3 linked regions of the Schizosaccharomyces pombe genome follow. The gene in region 1 interacts genetically with each later gene. Each region holds a gene or a part of one and is shown in the gene's direction. Other genes may lie near its edges.

Evidence for each region.
Region 2: mutations in ccq1 (region 1) and pcp1 impair growth when combined (synthetic growth defect), as found in Schizosaccharomyces pombe (one study listed by BioGRID).
Region 3: of ccq1 (region 1) and trt1, changing one enhances a phenotype caused by changing the other (phenotypic enhancement), as found in Schizosaccharomyces pombe (2 studies listed by BioGRID, with this or other methods).

The regions. Positions count from the first base shown.
Region 1 is NC_003421.2:1,484,515-1,489,178, forward strand, and holds ccq1 (shelterin complex HEAT repeat subunit Ccq1), read left to right. Parts: upstream 1-1,625; 5' UTR 1,626-1,788; coding exon 1,789-3,996; 3' UTR 3,997-4,164; downstream 4,165-4,664. Other genes in the region: signal recognition particle subunit Srp54, read right to left, coding at 1-64, 545-622; ubiquitin hydrolase Ubp5, read right to left, coding at 4,420-4,664. UniProt on the Schizosaccharomyces pombe protein: Component of the meiotic bouquet that facilitates meiotic nuclear reorganization of the telomeres to the centrosome. Links telomeres to the meiotic centrosome component pcp1. Essential for the formation of normal telomere clusters during meiotic prophase.
Region 2 is NC_003424.3:3,253,851-3,259,815, reverse strand, and holds pcp1 (gamma tubulin complex linker, pericentrin/kendrin Pcp1), read left to right. Parts: upstream 1-1,535; 5' UTR 1,536-1,650; coding exon 1,651-5,277; 3' UTR 5,278-5,415; downstream 5,416-5,965. Other genes in the region: ubiquitin hydrolase Ubp6, read right to left, coding at 1-115; ARP2/3 actin-organizing complex subunit Arc4, read left to right, coding at 372-374, 430-632, 763-886, 1,068-1,244; pcd1 (coenzyme A diphosphatase), read right to left, coding at 5,446-5,965. UniProt on the Schizosaccharomyces pombe protein: Spindle pole body component that binds calmodulin. Overexpression of pcp1 causes the formation of supernumerary SPB-like structures and disrupts both mitotic spindle assembly and chromosome segregation.
Region 3 is NC_003423.3:2,061,922-2,067,951, reverse strand, and holds trt1 (telomerase reverse transcriptase 1 protein Trt1), read left to right. Parts: upstream 1-1,841; coding exon 1,842-2,099; exon of another isoform or gene 2,100-2,155; coding exon 2,156-2,236; exon of another isoform or gene 2,237-2,307; coding exon 2,308-2,426; exon of another isoform or gene 2,427-2,437; intron 2,438-2,477; coding exon 2,478-2,740; intron 2,741-2,776; coding exon 2,777-3,169; intron 3,170-3,208; coding exon 3,209-3,279; intron 3,280-3,318; coding exon 3,319-3,588; intron 3,589-3,628; coding exon 3,629-3,745; intron 3,746-3,796; coding exon 3,797-3,966; intron 3,967-4,007; coding exon 4,008-4,192; intron 4,193-4,221; exon of another isoform or gene 4,222-4,238; coding exon 4,239-4,387; exon of another isoform or gene 4,388-4,428; coding exon 4,429-4,642; exon of another isoform or gene 4,643-4,679; coding exon 4,680-4,929; exon of another isoform or gene 4,930-4,968; coding exon 4,969-5,135; exon of another isoform or gene 5,136-5,178; coding exon 5,179-5,275; exon of another isoform or gene 5,276-5,317; coding exon 5,318-5,480; downstream 5,481-6,030. Other genes in the region: rsm23 (mitochondrial 37S ribosomal protein mS29), read left to right, coding at 14-1,444; PWWP domain protein Pdp1, read left to right, coding at 5,770-6,030.

The DNA.
Region 1 (4,664 bases):
ATCGCACATTAACATCTGTTTCCAAAAGTGCCGTACATATATTTTTCAGCAGAGTATCGACAAGCTAAATAAAATTATTAGTAAAGGTTCGTATTAAAACGATAGATATCCTAATCAAAACAGAACATTGGGAAAACAAACTAGAGGTCATTAAAAAAATCTTCAGCTGCCTAAAAGTTGCTTGGTAAGTAAACCCTTTTAGTAACTTGAAACCAAAATCTAACATTGCATTATTAAAAAGGGTTTTAAATTTTCATGTCAAGGTAACGTCGATGTAAACGAAGATAATCCCAATATGCAATCAAGATATATATATATAAGAGATTGGATAAACCAGCTACGCAACTAGAAAAGCATATCTGTGGTAGATGATTTTTCTTATCGACAAATTTCGTAAAGCATGAAACGATGTTCATATACAGCGTGTAAAACATGGCAAATGCAAAATTTTTGAAGAAATCAAGCAAAGATGTATTAAATATTTTTATAAATGACATGGCTCACTCTCCGTATGAGAACAAATTTTCGATAGAATAAAACATACCTCTTCATTCACTGAAGTGGCCTTAGAAAAGTCCCCTAACGCAGAGTTCAAACGACGCCCTAAATCTGCAAAAACCATTTTGTCAGATTAAAAACTTCCAACCAGGCAATTTGAAGTTCGTCAAATGTGGTTGGTAGAGGATGAAGTCGTTAAGGACATGCAGTGTCTTCAAGCGAAAAGTCAATAGACAATTGAGGCAATATGATAAATGCCTAAAGATGAAGTAAAGAAGAGTTTGATATTATCTTTTTAAAAAATATTTTCACTGAGTTTAATACCGAGTTATTTCGCCTGCAAGCTTTTTATTGTTTTCAGTATAGGTGATATATCGACAGGATAGCGCAGCACAGCATTCCTATATAATACCTTGTTTGTATAATATTTTAGAATTAATCTATAGCAAAAGTTCAGTAGGTATAATCTTAAAAAATAAAATACTTATTAAGATTATACTCATGTGTAAAAGTGTTTGACTAGGTCCTGACAATTATTGATGCTTCTCTTTCTCACATTTGTAATAGAAACACGAATCGTAAATTCCGTGGTGGCTAACTTTGTCCCACAATCTTTTGATTCATACTTGCTGTAGTTTGTGTTTTAAGACGCTAATAGAAAAAGATCTAAAAGATTGATATTTGAAACTTTTTATATATTTTTCAGGCGTATGTTCTTATTCACCTTAAACTTTTTTGGAATTTTTCGTGCGTTAATCCAGCAATTAGTCTTAAGATCCAGTTTTTCCAAACTTCACGAAGGAAAGCACTTCCAAGTCCTTATAAGAGCCAGAATGAATTGCAATTAGCTGTTTTTTCAATATAAGACTAAAGATAAAGAATCGTTAACCCCTTAACACAAAATTTGAAAAAGAAATAACATTTACTACGCGTTATGGGTGAATAGTTATATTTGTTTACATAATAGACTTAAATAGAGAGGTGACGCGTTACTTTATTAAAATAAAGATTTGTTATATGAAAAAAAGTAATTAGAGCTCTTTTAAATGCTGTAAACATTTTCCGCTACACAGTGTATTTCGTAAAAATATGTACAAATTTAAAGGCGAACACGGAATTCTGGGAACAACATTTGGGTGGTTATTTGTAAAAACGATAATAAAAGACTCTTTTTAGACCATCTAATTCCTCTAAACGTGCGAAAATTATTTCTTTTCGGACGCTAAATTGGTCTCGTGTTGCAATATTTAAACATTCAATTTCTTGTTGAATTTTAACGTGGATGGCAGTATGAGCGAAATTAACGACTTTACGAATTCAATTATTATCAATGAAAGTGATACGAAATACGAGGTTTACTCTGAGGTGAATTCCAGTAATAGATGGATTGCCAAAGAGGATTGCCCTAGCCCGTTGGAAGATGTATGGCTTCTAAAATTAGCAGGCCATAAGAGAAAATTGGAAGAGCCTCTAAGTTGCATGCGTAATGAAGAACCTGCATCCAAACAAAGAGAGATAGAAAAATTTTTACGGACTGATTTGGATCACTCTGAAAATGACTTTTTAACTCAAGAGGTCGATGAATTCCCTTCTACCCAGCAGTTATTTCCTATTCCTTTGCAAAATGACACTGCCTTTGATTCTTCGGAAGAATCTATTACTAAATCTTCTAAATCCTCGTTCAGCGTGCTAGATATTGGCCTTCCAATGTCTGCGCTTCAAAGGAAAATGATGCATCGGTTGGTTCAATACTTTGCCTTTTGTATTGACCATTTTTGTACTGGTCCTAGCGATTCAAGAATCCAAGAAAAAATACGTCTTTTTATTCAATCTGCTCATAACATTGCAAAGCATCCTAGTCTGTATGATACTGAAGTTCGAAATCCCTCCGCTGCTGAATCCACTAATTCCCACGTTTCTTTAGATGCTTCTAATTTCTCTTCATATGCCGAAAATTCTTCAAAATTTCTTTTTTTGCAAGAATTATTCAAAAATCTTTCCCCCTCTTATTCTAAGACATTTTTTTTATTTATCTCCAACCAATTTCTTGCAAACACACTTACTCAATGGCTAAAATCTCAAAACATTGATGCTGAGTTATGGGCTGAAGAGGATGCAAAGACTAGCCAACATCCAGCAATTTGGATTTGTGTGTCCAAAAAGGCTCCCTCCGCTTCTCATTTTCTTCAATCTTGCCCAGATTTGAGTGCAACCATTTTTTATGATATCGAAGCATACATGAGTGTCACTAGTTCCTTGCCCTCTATTCAAAGCCTTGTCCTTAGGCTCATTCACTTGGGATCTATAGAACATGCCATAAAATGTTTTCAATCATCTTACAATGCCTCATTTTTAGTGAACATTGTGGGTGTGGTTGCCACTCTTAGTTCTTCTTCCGAGGAAAATTCAGAAGCTTCAAATTTGAGCACTTTGTTTGAGAAATCTGGGAACTTTGAGGAAATCCTAGGCTCAGAATCTCACTCTTCTATTACAGAAAAAACTCGAGATATTGCTAAAAATGTTGCGACCTGGTTAAAAAATGGAGAAAACTTCTCTTCTTGGCCACTACCTCCTCTAATGGATTTAGCAAGCTTATCGGTTGCAGAACCAAGGGATTCTCAGCCTTCTGTTTCTCAGGTGAACGATACTTTTGTCAAATCATCTGATAGTACATTTCCTTCGTCGCAAAGCATGCAATCACCTTCCAAACTCCACTCTTTAACAAGTAATGCCACCGATTTACTGTCATCAAGCTCACTAAAGAAAAACTTTTTTTCTCAACAGGAAGCTGATGAGGTAGAACTTTCCAATAATTATGATCTCCAAGGTGCAGCTGTCCAATACCTGCAGCGTCGTTTAAGAATGGTAGAAGATGAATTACACGAAGCCATTAATTCCAAAAACGTACAACAAAGTCGCTCAGAGGAGTTGGAGCAGCAAATTTCTAAGCTGACGGATAATTTACAAGAATACAGAAACACTGTTCGAGAGCTCAAGCTGGATTTGGAGAAATCGAAGAAAAAGAATGAAGACCTTTCAAAGCTAGAAGTTGAGAAGGTTGAAGAAATCGCAAACCTTAAAAAAGAGCTTACCCACTTAGCTAAGCAACAAGAATTTGGCTTTAAATATGTACAAGAATTTTCGAATGAAGATCTACAAGGCAAATTAATTGAAGCCAACGAAAAAAATTACAAACTTACTCAACTGTTAAAAACACAGAAAGAAGACGCTGATTTCATTACTAATCAATATCAAAATGCATCTACTTTTGCTGCTGAGCAAAGCAAAGAGGTTGCGAAACTTCAAGCTGAATGTAAGCGCTTACAAGCTATAAATTCTAAAGTTATGGAAGAGGTAAAAGTTTATAATGATTCAAGGGTAGAAGCATTACTCGCTAAGGTCTCTTCTCTGGAGGAGACCTTAAAAATTTTAGAGCAGAAGTCTCTTCCCAAATTTACTCCACATAATCAATCACCAAGGATTATTGATTCTAACTAAATCATTAACGATCAAGAACTTCAGTGGAATCAACTATAAAAAGTTCGTTTAGTCATACGGTTATTTGATTAAATTATGTCGTAATCAGCTTTTAATGAAACAATTTTAATTGTATTAATTTTTCAACAGTTGCAAAAATATATTGGTTTTCTTCATATATTCATCAAGAAGTTAGACATTTCGTTACATACTAGATTCAATGATCTATGTCATTAATTTTGAATTTGTTTTTGAAAGATTTTAATTGTATCAAATTCGAATATGCATCCTCAAAAGATGCAATATCAACATTGATGAAATAATTTTTTATGCTTCATATCATTTTGTTATGCTCGCAATATCGAACCTGTATAAAACTTCATGCACCTTATGCTCAACAGGTAAGGACCAAACAACCAGCAAGGATTGTAAAGCCTTTAAATACTAATTTTTCATCTGAATAGCACGGTCGAGTATATTCGGCTTCTTACTATCTTTCTTAGCACGATCCAAAGCCAATGTACCGTTTAGTTTTTCAACAACATCATATGTAATGTCTTCATCATTCAAATAGACAACTCTATTGTTATCAAAATCCACCACACAGAATTTAATAACGCTGAAAATGCTTTCTGGATACTGTGTGCGAGCTGCAAGACGTAGTTTTGTATCGATGAATTTTTCCTGGG
Region 2 (5,965 bases), on another chromosome or scaffold:
GAGGAACTTGTGTCAACGAGTATAGTTGATGTTTCAAGGTGCTTCCTGTTTCATTAGGTTCAATCTCTAAGTCGTACTTCTTCCCTTGCCAACGAATTGCTATGGGAATCATCATAAATGGTTTTTGTAATTAATGAAAGAAATACTTGTTTAAGCCCAATATAATTTTTTTTGTAATTCTTTGCAAATTATACTTATTATATATGTTGCTGGTACTTGGTGAAGGCCATACAGTAACGAGCTATATACTCATTTTCGGTAACACCACGCAGCGTGCGTGGTTGTGCCGCTAAACTCGTTAAGCAATATCACACTGACACTACGTGTTAGCACAAAACCAAACCCGGAGACTGACTCCATAGATTCTAATTATGGTAAGAGAGGAATTCTTTTGTTATAAAAAGATATGATTTATTAACGAAGGCATAGTCTAATACCTTAAGACCTTATTTAAACGCAGTTCGTTCTACTCTGACTGCTTCTTTAGCATTAGAGGAATTCTCATCAGAAATTGTAGAACGCCAGAGTCAGCCGGAAGTTGAGGTTGGACGGTCTCCTGAAATTCTACTAAAGCCCCTGGTGGTCTCTCGTAATGAGCAAGAACAGTGTTTGATTGAGAGCTCTGTTAATAGGTATGTCTTAGGCATCCGATGTTTCCGATTCGAACTGGTACATTCACTGATCTTTCGATTTGGAATAACGGAGTTTTGAAAGTCATTCTCATTATTTGGATTTTTTTTACTGATGCATTTATGAAATTAGTGTTCGTTTCAGCATTCGTATTAAACAAGTCGATGAAATTGAACGAATTCTTGTGCGCAAATTTATGCAGTTTTTAATGGGTCGTGCAGAATCTTTCTTTATTTTGCGCCGCAAACCTGTTCAGGTACGTTATTACAAATTGTAATTGGCAAAAAAGTGTTCAAGGGAAGAATTTCTAGAGATTTTGCGTTAGTTTAAGTGTTCACTGTTCTGCCTCAGCCATTGTATAGTTCTTCTTTTTTTTCTTTTTCGAAGTTGCCATTGCTATTTGTAAATATCATCAAACTAACCTTTCTTTGTTATAGGGCTATGATATTTCCTTTCTTATAACTAATTACCATACTGAGGAAATGCTTAAGCACAAATTAGTTGATTTCATTATTGAGTTTATGGAGGAAGTTGACGCTGAAATTAGTGAGATGAAACTTTTCTTGAACGGAAGAGCTCGTCTTGTTGCTGAAACTTATCTGAGTTGTTTTTAGATTCATGTTTACGTTTTGGACCCTATCGATGATTTTATCAATTTATACATAAATAAATGAGCACCAAATACTTCTTCCGAATAAAATTCCTATCTCTTCTATTCTGTATTGAGTACAATAAACATATCAAGGCAGTTTTACATTCGATAATCCTTCATATCTACAATCTCGCCTTTTGACTTTTAGCATCCTTACAAGATATAACGAAAGTATACGATATGTTGTTACTTATATTAGGGAGCTGTTTCGTAGTTTATTTGATCATTTGACGACTGTAAACAAACTACAATCAACAACATTTTTGCTTTTTAATGATTCTGCCAGAATAAGTAGTTTCTATATAATTTTATGCACTTGCGCTAGTTGGTGGATAATTTTAATAAATACATGCATCCGCAGTTACGTTATGTCTGAACGAGATTTTAATACGCAATCTCCCAAATTTAAAGATGAAAACGCGAATTCTGTGATCAGCCAATCTGATTTTTTGGGGAAATCACTCAAAAATAATAACGATGATTATTCTGATTTCCGTGGTTCGTACCTTAATGATAAATCATCTTTCCAGACGCCTTTGCGCAACGGCTCTTATCAACCAAAAGGTAGTTTGGAATTTACTCCATTATTACAGTCTTCAAATAAAAACTCAGATAAATACAACGGGAGTTTGGGCGATAAAGGCTCTTTTGACCCTAATTCCTACGGGTTATCTGCTATATCTAAACAAGCTACTCAAGAAGCTTTGAGCATCAGTCAGGGAAATGACTCTTACGACGTTTCCAAGCTTACCGATCTCTCGAAAAATTCCGAAATAGATCACACAGATGGAGAATTGCCTGCAAATGCCGCCCTTACTCTTCGTGAGCAAGAAAAGGTCCTTGAGAAAGTTAGCAGAGAAAACTTTGGACTTCGAATCAAAATTGTATGTTTGGAAAAGCGACTTGAGTCTATGGCTCCCGAACAGATAAAAGAAGCTGTCAAAGACAATGTTGAGTTGCATGCCGAACGAGCAAACTTACAGCTTCAGCTTAAGAGAACTGAATCTTTACTTCAAAAGTCTGAAGACAAGAATTTCAAATTAGAAGAGAAGGTCGATTATTTATCTAAGGTTAATGATGTCGAGCAATCCCAGAATGTAAAAGTTTTTACGGAGCGCATTCGTTTTTTGGAGAATGCCTTGGAAAAAGTTCAAAGGGAAAAAGACAGTTTATCTACAGAGATGGAAGAGGATAAAAGTAACAAGGAAGTTGATTATGAATATGAAATACGACAGTTACAAAATCGGCTTGATGAATTATCGGAAGAGCTAGATGTTGCTCAAGATTTGCTTACTGAGAAAGAAGACGAAATTGCCACCCTGAAAAGACAGATTGAGGAAAAGGAGAATAGCTCTTCAGCTTTTGAAAATGAGGAGAATTCAAGCTACGTACATCTTCAAGAAGACTATGCGATTTTGCAAGCCAAATGTGATGAATTTGCGGATAGAATACAAGTGCTTACTGCCGATCTCGAAAAAGAGAAAGAAAATCAGATAATGCATGAATCCGAGGCCTCAATTGGTTTGACAGATTCCATGCAAGTACATACCCTTCAAGAACAATTACACAAAGCGAACGAAGAAATCGAATTTTTACATGATCAAATTAGTCGAATGAACGAAGAAGGTAAAAACTTTGAAGATATTATGCTTCAATTTAGAAGCTTGGAAGAAGAACGAGACGTGCTAGAATCCAAACTCCAAACTTTGGAAGATGACAATAACAGTTTACGGTTGATGACCTCCTCGTTGGGTAACCAAATTGAGTCTTTACGTACGCAAAATCGTGAAATAGATGAAGAGAAGAATCATTTACGTCTTCTTGCCTCTAAAAATTCAGATAAAGCACTTGCAGAAACGAATATCCGATTGCAAGAAGTCACTAAAGAACTGGAAACCCTTAGAATGAAGAATTCTAATGACTTAAACGAGATACACGATCTTAGGGAGGAAAATGAAGGCTTAACTTTGAAGATTGACTCTATTACCAAAGAGAAAGACCGTTTAATAAATGAGTTAGAACAACGTATCAAGTCATACGAAGTCAACGTTTCTGAATTAAACGGTACTATTGATGAATATAGAAATAAGCTTAAGGATAAAGAAGAAACTTATAATGAAGTGATGAATGCTTTTCAGTATAAAGACAACGATTTGCGGCGGTTTCATGAATCCATTAATAAATTACAAGATCGAGAGAAAGAGTTGACTTCAAATTTGGAAAAGAAGAACTTGGTCATTAGTTCATTACGAGAGACAGTTGCAATGCTCGAAAAAGAAAGAGAATCCATTAAGAAATATTTATCTGGAAATGCGAAAGACCTTGATAATACAAATTTAATGGAAATTCTGAACGATAAAATTTCAGTACTTCAGCGGCAGCTTACCGACGTAAAAGACGAATTAGATGTTAGCGAAGAAGAACGAGAAGAAGCCATAGTGGCTGGACAAAAGCTATCTGCTAGTTTTGAATTAATGAGCAACGAAAAACAGGCTTTGGAGTTAAAATACTCTTCGCTAAAAAATGAATTAATAAATGCCCAAAACCTCTTAGACCGGAGGGAGGAAGAACTATCCGAATTAAGTAAAAAACTCTTCGAAGAAAGAAAAATACGATCTGGATCAAATGATGATATTGAGAAAAATAAAGAAATAAATGTGCTCAATAGCGAGTTGGCCGACAAGCTTGCTCAAATTCGTCATTTAGAATCTGACAAAATGGAGCTAGATAAACTTGTGCATCACTTAAATAGGGGAATTGAGGAGGCGAATATAGAAGAAAATGCTGTCAAAAAGAGACTATGCCTTTTGATGGGATGTGATTATTCTTCGGTGAGTATTTTGCAGATAGTCAGTCAAATTGAACATTTTGTCAATCAACAAATCCAAACGATTCGGTCGTTGAAGCAAGAGTTACGGCATGATTTTGTACAGTTTTCTGGTAAAAAGGAACAGGAACTTAGTAGAAGCTTTGAAAAATTTGGATTGGGAACTGAGACAAAGCATGATATTCTTGCACAACGAAATCGAAACGTTAGTGAGAAGATGAATGACTTGGAAAACGCTGCCCAAAAGTTTTTTAGCTCTCCTGATCGGAAGAATGGCTATTTATATCCTTCTGAACATACTTCTAAAATCGAGTACCTTGAGAAAACGATTGAAGATCTAAAGCTTGCGCTTCAAGATGAACTAAAAAATCGAAATTTACTCATGGATGATATTTCCAGCTATAATAAGCAAACAACCAAGTTGCAGGAAAAGATTAAATGGTTAGAAAGAGAACGTTCGATACTTATCGATGAGCTTGAAAGTTATCGATCAAACCAGTTTAATTATCAGAACAACTTAGTACAAGATAAAAATGAACTGGAAGAAAGGCTAAAGGAAATCCAGAAGGAATTAGAGGTTTATAACAATCATTTTATGAAGCAAGCTGAATTGATGACTTCCAATGTTACCGACGAAAGCCAATTAATGCTTAAGACACTCAGGGAGGCTCTTCAGTCTAAGACTAACAATATCGATCATCTGTCTACTATTTTGGAACGTAATAGAAAAGAATATAAATCATTGTTAGATGACTATAATCAATTACGTGCACGCTATAAGAATTTACAATCAAATACTCCGCAATCCACACAGTCAGGGCAATACGAATCTGAAATAAAGGGACTCTCTAAGTTGACTAAATATCTTCAATCGAAATGTCGAAGAGAGCACTCTCTTCGTTTGGACCTTGCCTTTTCAAAAAAATTTATTTTAATGCAACTAACAGGATACGAAACATGCAATAAAATAAATTTACGTATGCTGCAGAAAATTGGAATTTCACCTGATCCTGATTTATCTAAGAAACACATAAAGCTGAAGAGTCTAATTATCGTTGTTTGTTCAATTGAAAGAATGAAGCGAATGAAGAATGAGTGGCTAAAACAAGCTCAATTGAAACAATCATTGCAAAGAGCTGCCGCAAAGGCAAAGACCGCAAACTACTAATCTGGGATACTTACGTTTTTTACTCTCTTTTTTTTTAACAACATTCAATTAATTCTACTACTATAATTATTTTAATTTATTGACTTTATTATCAAGCATTACTATTAATAACAGAAGAAAAAATAAATATTAATTAAGTCTATGTAGTAATGGTATTAAAGCGTAAAATCAAAACTTTGGGATTGAGATAAGAGCATCCGGGCAAATAGAATTAAGATACATATTTAATATAACCGCTGTTATTCCCCAAATTCTTGGAATCTTATCAATGTTAAATTCGACATAAAGCAAATCCGTATTACGAAATCGAGATATCTTTTGGTGCTTGGGATTTAAAAAAGAGGTGAGAGGAACGTAAAATAAATCTTTCACTTCACCTGTCCCAAGTGAAGGAAGGGAGGTTTGCACCGAAAACGCAAGGTAAGCCCGAATCTCAGTCTTTTCATCTCTGGTGAATAATGGAGGGAAAGTAGTCAAGTAAGTAAAAAAATTAGGGAGGAATCCAATTTCCTCGTAAGTTTCTCTTAATGCCGCATAATAATGAGAACCGTCTGAAGGTTCCACACGGCCACCAGGAAAGCACATTTGTCCAGCATGAGAACGCAAGTTTGGAGAACGTTGCGTGAGTAGTAAAGAAGCTCCTTGAGAAGTGTTTACTAGAGGCATCAAAACAGATGCAAATCTCGTA
Region 3 (6,030 bases), on another chromosome or scaffold:
TACCTCTAACAAAATGCTACCGAAGTTTAGAAGCAGAAGTAGTATTATTAAGAATACAGAGAGAATTTCTAATATCCTGTCCGGTGGAAAACTGACTGTTTGCGGTAGTAAACTGGGAGGACTCTACACTTTTGAAAAATGCACATTTAACAAATACTATTCATCCTCACAATACCAGCATACGGGTAGACCTGTTGGAGGAAATATACATTCAAGCTCTAACCAGCAGCGTCAAAAAAATTCGGAAGCGCCAAGAATTAATGAAATTCCCCCCTCAACTTCGTCAGTAGAGAAATCGACGACTATTCCCAATAGTAGCGTTGTATTGGATCATCTCTTAAATGAAGGAGAAAATACTTTAGAAGAGGTGAAGCCCTCTGAAATTCATCCGCATATGTCTTGGTCCAGCAAGTCTGAAGGTAAGATGTTTAAAATCCCCGAGGAATTGCTTAATAAACTTAATGGATTTGGGGCTTTAGAAAAACAAAAAAAAAGTTTCTCCTTTTTTACCAGTGCTTCCCTTTTGCACAGGAAAATTACAACTGAATTAGTGAATGTACTGCAGCGCTCCAAAGACCAGGGTACGAAGGACGGACGTTTTCTTCTTGATGGTGCTCCAGGTTCAGGAAGAAGTATTGCTCTCATACAAGCTGAACTTTTCGCCTTATCACAACCTAATTTTATAGTCTTGCCAGTCCATAACTGCGAAGGATGGGTAAATTCAACGAGTAGTTATGGTTATGATGAGCAACTCAAGTTGTGGGTGCAACCAGATTTAATTAAGGGATTTCTAACTTCTGTTATGAAAACTAATTCTGATAAACTTAAGAAGCTAAAGACCTTTGAAAGTCATGAGTTGCTTCAGAACGAATGCATTCCTGCTGGTACCGATTTACTTTCCTTTCTTCATAAGCTAATTGCTTCCTCGAACGCTCCTAAATCTCTGGAAATATTTTTACAAGAACTCAATAACAATACCAAGTCAAATTCCAATATGAAGGTGTTATTAGTGATCGATAATATTTCTATTTTATCGGTCGTTACCAAGTATAAGGACAAAAAGAACAACTTCCTTCCCCCTAAAGACTTTTACTTTATTAATTTACTTTTCAAATATATTTCGGGTTCGCTTACTTTTAATCGTGGTACTGTTTTAGCTGCTACTTCTAGCCAACCGCGTGTTTCTACCCCGTCATTGGATATAGCTCTTGGAGTAGCTCACAGAAATCCTTACAAATCTTCTGATGAGACTATATTAGATTCATTACAGTCCGTGCATATTCTTAACATGGAGCCTTACACTTTAGATGAGTCACGTCGCATGATGGAGTATTTGGTATCATCCAACGTTTGCCTTGAAAAGGTTGATAATTATTTGCAAAATCATGTCCTTAGTGGTGGTAATCCGCGAAAGTTTTTTGATGCTTGCACACGTCTAGCATGATTGAGATATTCAAAAATTTCTATCCACTACAACTCCTTTAACGCGGTTTTATTTTTCTATTTTCTATTCTCATGTTGTTCCAAATATGTATCATCTCGTATTAGGCTTTTTTCCGTTTTACTCCTGGAATCGTACCTTTTTCACTATTCCCCCTAATGAATAATCTAAATTAGTTTCGCTTATAATTGATAGTAGTAGAAAGATTGGTGATTCTACTCGTGTAATGTTATTAGTTTAAAGATACTTTGCAAAACATTTATTAGCTATCATTATATAAAAAAAATCCTATAATTATAAATATTAATCAATATTTGCGGTCACTATTTATTTAAAACGTTATGATCAGTAGGACACTTTGCATATATATAGTTATGCTTAATGGTTACTTGTAACTTGCATGACCGAACACCATACCCCCAAAAGCAGGATTCTTCGCTTTCTAGAGAATCAATATGTATACCTATGTACCTTAAATGATTATGTACAACTTGTTTTGAGAGGGTCGCCGGCAAGCTCGTATAGCAATATATGCGAACGCTTGAGAAGCGATGTACAAACGTCCTTTTCTATTTTTCTTCATTCGACTGTAGTCGGCTTCGACAGTAAGCCAGATGAAGGTGTTCAATTTTCTTCTCCAAAATGCTCACAGTCAGAGGTATATATATTTTTGTTTTGATTTTTTTCTATTCGGGATAGCTAATATATGGGCAGCTAATAGCGAATGTTGTAAAACAGATGTTCGATGAAAGTTTTGAGCGTCGAAGGAATCTACTGATGAAAGGGTTTTCCATGGTAAGGTATTCTAATTGTGAAATATTTACCTGCAATTACTGTTTCAAAGAGATTGTATTTAACCGATAAAGAATCATGAAGATTTTCGAGCCATGCATGTAAACGGAGTACAAAATGATCTCGTTTCTACTTTTCCTAATTACCTTATATCTATACTTGAGTCAAAAAATTGGCAACTTTTGTTAGAAATGTAAATACCGGTTAAGATGTTGCGCACTTTGAACAAGACTGACAAGTATAGTATCGGCAGTGATGCCATGCATTACTTATTATCCAAAGGAAGTATTTTTGAGGCTCTTCCAAATGACAATTACCTTCAGATTTCTGGCATACCACTTTTTAAAAATAATGTGTTTGAGGAAACTGTGTCAAAAAAAAGAAAGCGAACCATTGAAACATCCATTACTCAAAATAAAAGCGCCCGCAAAGAAGTTTCCTGGAATAGCATTTCAATTAGTAGGTTTAGCATTTTTTACAGGTCATCCTATAAGAAGTTTAAGCAAGGTAACTAATACTGTTATCCTTCATAACTAATTTTAGATCTATATTTTAACTTACACTCTATTTGTGATCGGAACACAGTACACATGTGGCTTCAATGGATTTTTCCAAGGCAATTTGGACTTATAAACGCATTTCAAGTGAAGCAATTGCACAAAGTGATTCCACTGGTATCACAGAGTACAGTTGTGCCCAAACGTCTCCTAAAGGTATACCCTTTAATTGAACAAACAGCAAAGCGACTCCATCGTATTTCTCTATCAAAAGTTTACAACCATTATTGCCCATATATTGACACCCACGATGATGAAAAAATCCTTAGTTATTCCTTAAAGCCGAACCAGGTGTTTGCGTTTCTTCGATCCATTCTTGTTCGAGTGTTTCCTAAATTAATCTGGGGTAACCAAAGGATATTTGAGATAATATTAAAAGGTATTGTATAAAATTTATTACCACTAACGATTTTACCAGACCTCGAAACTTTCTTGAAATTATCGAGATACGAGTCTTTTAGTTTACATTATTTAATGAGTAACATAAAGGTAATATGCCAAATTTTTTTACCATTAATTAACAATCAGATTTCAGAAATTGAATGGCTAGTCCTTGGAAAAAGGTCAAATGCGAAAATGTGCTTAAGTGATTTTGAGAAACGCAAGCAAATATTTGCGGAATTCATCTACTGGCTATACAATTCGTTTATAATACCTATTTTACAATCTTTTTTTTATATCACTGAATCAAGTGATTTACGAAATCGAACTGTTTATTTTAGAAAAGATATTTGGAAACTCTTGTGCCGACCCTTTATTACATCAATGAAAATGGAAGCGTTTGAAAAAATAAACGAGGTATTTTAAAGTATTTTTTGCAAAAAGCTAATATTTTCAGAACAATGTTAGGATGGATACTCAGAAAACTACTTTGCCTCCAGCAGTTATTCGTCTATTACCTAAGAAGAATACCTTTCGTCTCATTACGAATTTAAGAAAAAGATTCTTAATAAAGGTATTAATTTTTGGTCATCAATGTACTTTACTTCTAATCTATTATTAGCAGATGGGTTCAAACAAAAAAATGTTAGTCAGTACGAACCAAACTTTACGACCTGTGGCATCGATACTGAAACATTTAATCAATGAAGAAAGTAGTGGTATTCCATTTAACTTGGAGGTTTACATGAAGCTTCTTACTTTTAAGAAGGATCTTCTTAAGCACCGAATGTTTGGGTAATTATATAATGCGCGATTCCTCATTATTAATTTTGCAGGCGTAAGAAGTATTTTGTACGGATAGATATAAAATCCTGTTATGATCGAATAAAGCAAGATTTGATGTTTCGGATTGTTAAAAAGAAACTCAAGGATCCCGAATTTGTAATTCGAAAGTATGCAACCATACATGCAACAAGTGACCGAGCTACAAAAAACTTTGTTAGTGAGGCGTTTTCCTATTGTAAGTTTATTTTTTCATTGGAATTTTTTAACAAATTCTTTTTTAGTTGATATGGTGCCTTTTGAAAAAGTCGTGCAGTTACTTTCTATGAAAACATCAGATACTTTGTTTGTTGATTTTGTGGATTATTGGACCAAAAGTTCTTCTGAAATTTTTAAAATGCTCAAGGAACATCTCTCTGGACACATTGTTAAGGTATACCAATTGTTGAATTGTAATAACACTAATGAAACTAGATAGGAAATTCTCAATACCTTCAAAAAGTTGGTATCCCTCAGGGCTCAATTCTGTCATCTTTTTTGTGTCATTTCTATATGGAAGATTTGATTGATGAATACCTATCGTTTACGAAAAAGAAAGGATCAGTGTTGTTACGAGTAGTCGACGATTTCCTCTTTATAACAGTTAATAAAAAGGATGCAAAAAAATTTTTGAATTTATCTTTAAGAGGTGAGTTGCTGTCATTCCTAAGTTCTAACCGTTGAAGGATTTGAGAAACACAATTTTTCTACGAGCCTGGAGAAAACAGTAATAAACTTTGAAAATAGTAATGGGATAATAAACAATACTTTTTTTAATGAAAGCAAGAAAAGAATGCCATTCTTCGGTTTCTCTGTGAACATGAGGTCTCTTGATACATTGTTAGCATGTCCTAAAATTGATGAAGCCTTATTTAACTCTACATCTGTAGAGCTGACGAAACATATGGGGAAATCTTTTTTTTACAAAATTCTAAGGTATACTGTGTAACTGAATAATAGCTGACAAATAATCAGATCGAGCCTTGCATCCTTTGCACAAGTATTTATTGACATTACCCACAATTCAAAATTCAATTCTTGCTGCAATATATATAGGCTAGGATACTCTATGTGTATGAGAGCACAAGCATACTTAAAAAGGATGAAGGATATATTTATTCCCCAAAGAATGTTCATAACGGGTGAGTACTTATTTTAACTAGAAAAGTCATTAATTAACCTTAGATCTTTTGAATGTTATTGGAAGAAAAATTTGGAAAAAGTTGGCCGAAATATTAGGATATACGAGTAGGCGTTTCTTGTCCTCTGCAGAAGTCAAATGGTACGTGTCGGTCTCGAGACTTCAGCAATATTGACACATCAGGCTTTTTTGTCTTGGAATGAGAGATGGTTTGAAACCCTCTTTCAAATATCATCCATGCTTCGAACAGCTAATATACCAATTTCAGTCATTGACTGATCTTATCAAGCCGCTAAGACCAGTTTTGCGACAGGTGTTATTTTTACATAGAAGAATAGCTGATTAATGTCATTTTCAATTTATTATATACATCCTTTATTACTGGTGTCTTAAACAATATTATTACTAAGTATAGCTGACCCCCAAAGCAAGCATACTATAGGATTTCTAGTAAAGTAAAATTAATCTCGTTATTAGTTTTGATTGACTTGTCTTTATCCTTATACTTTTAAGAAAGATTGACAGTGGTTGCTGACTACTGCCCACATGCCCATTAAACGGGAGTGGTTAAACATTAAAAGTAATACATGAGGCTAATCTCCTTTCATTTAGAATAAGGAAAGTGGTTTTCTATAATGAATAATGCCCGCACTAATGCAAAAAGACGAAGATTATCTTCTAAACAAGGGGGATTAAGCATATCCGAAGGAAAAGAGAGTAATATACCCAGTGTTGTTGAAGAAAGCAAGGATAATTTGGAACAAGCTTCTGCAGATGACAGGCTAAATTTTGGTGACCGAATTTTGGTAAAAGCCCCAGGTTATCCATGGTGGCCGGCCTTGCTACTGAGACGAAAAGAAACTAAGGATAGTTTGAATACTAATAGCTCATTTAAT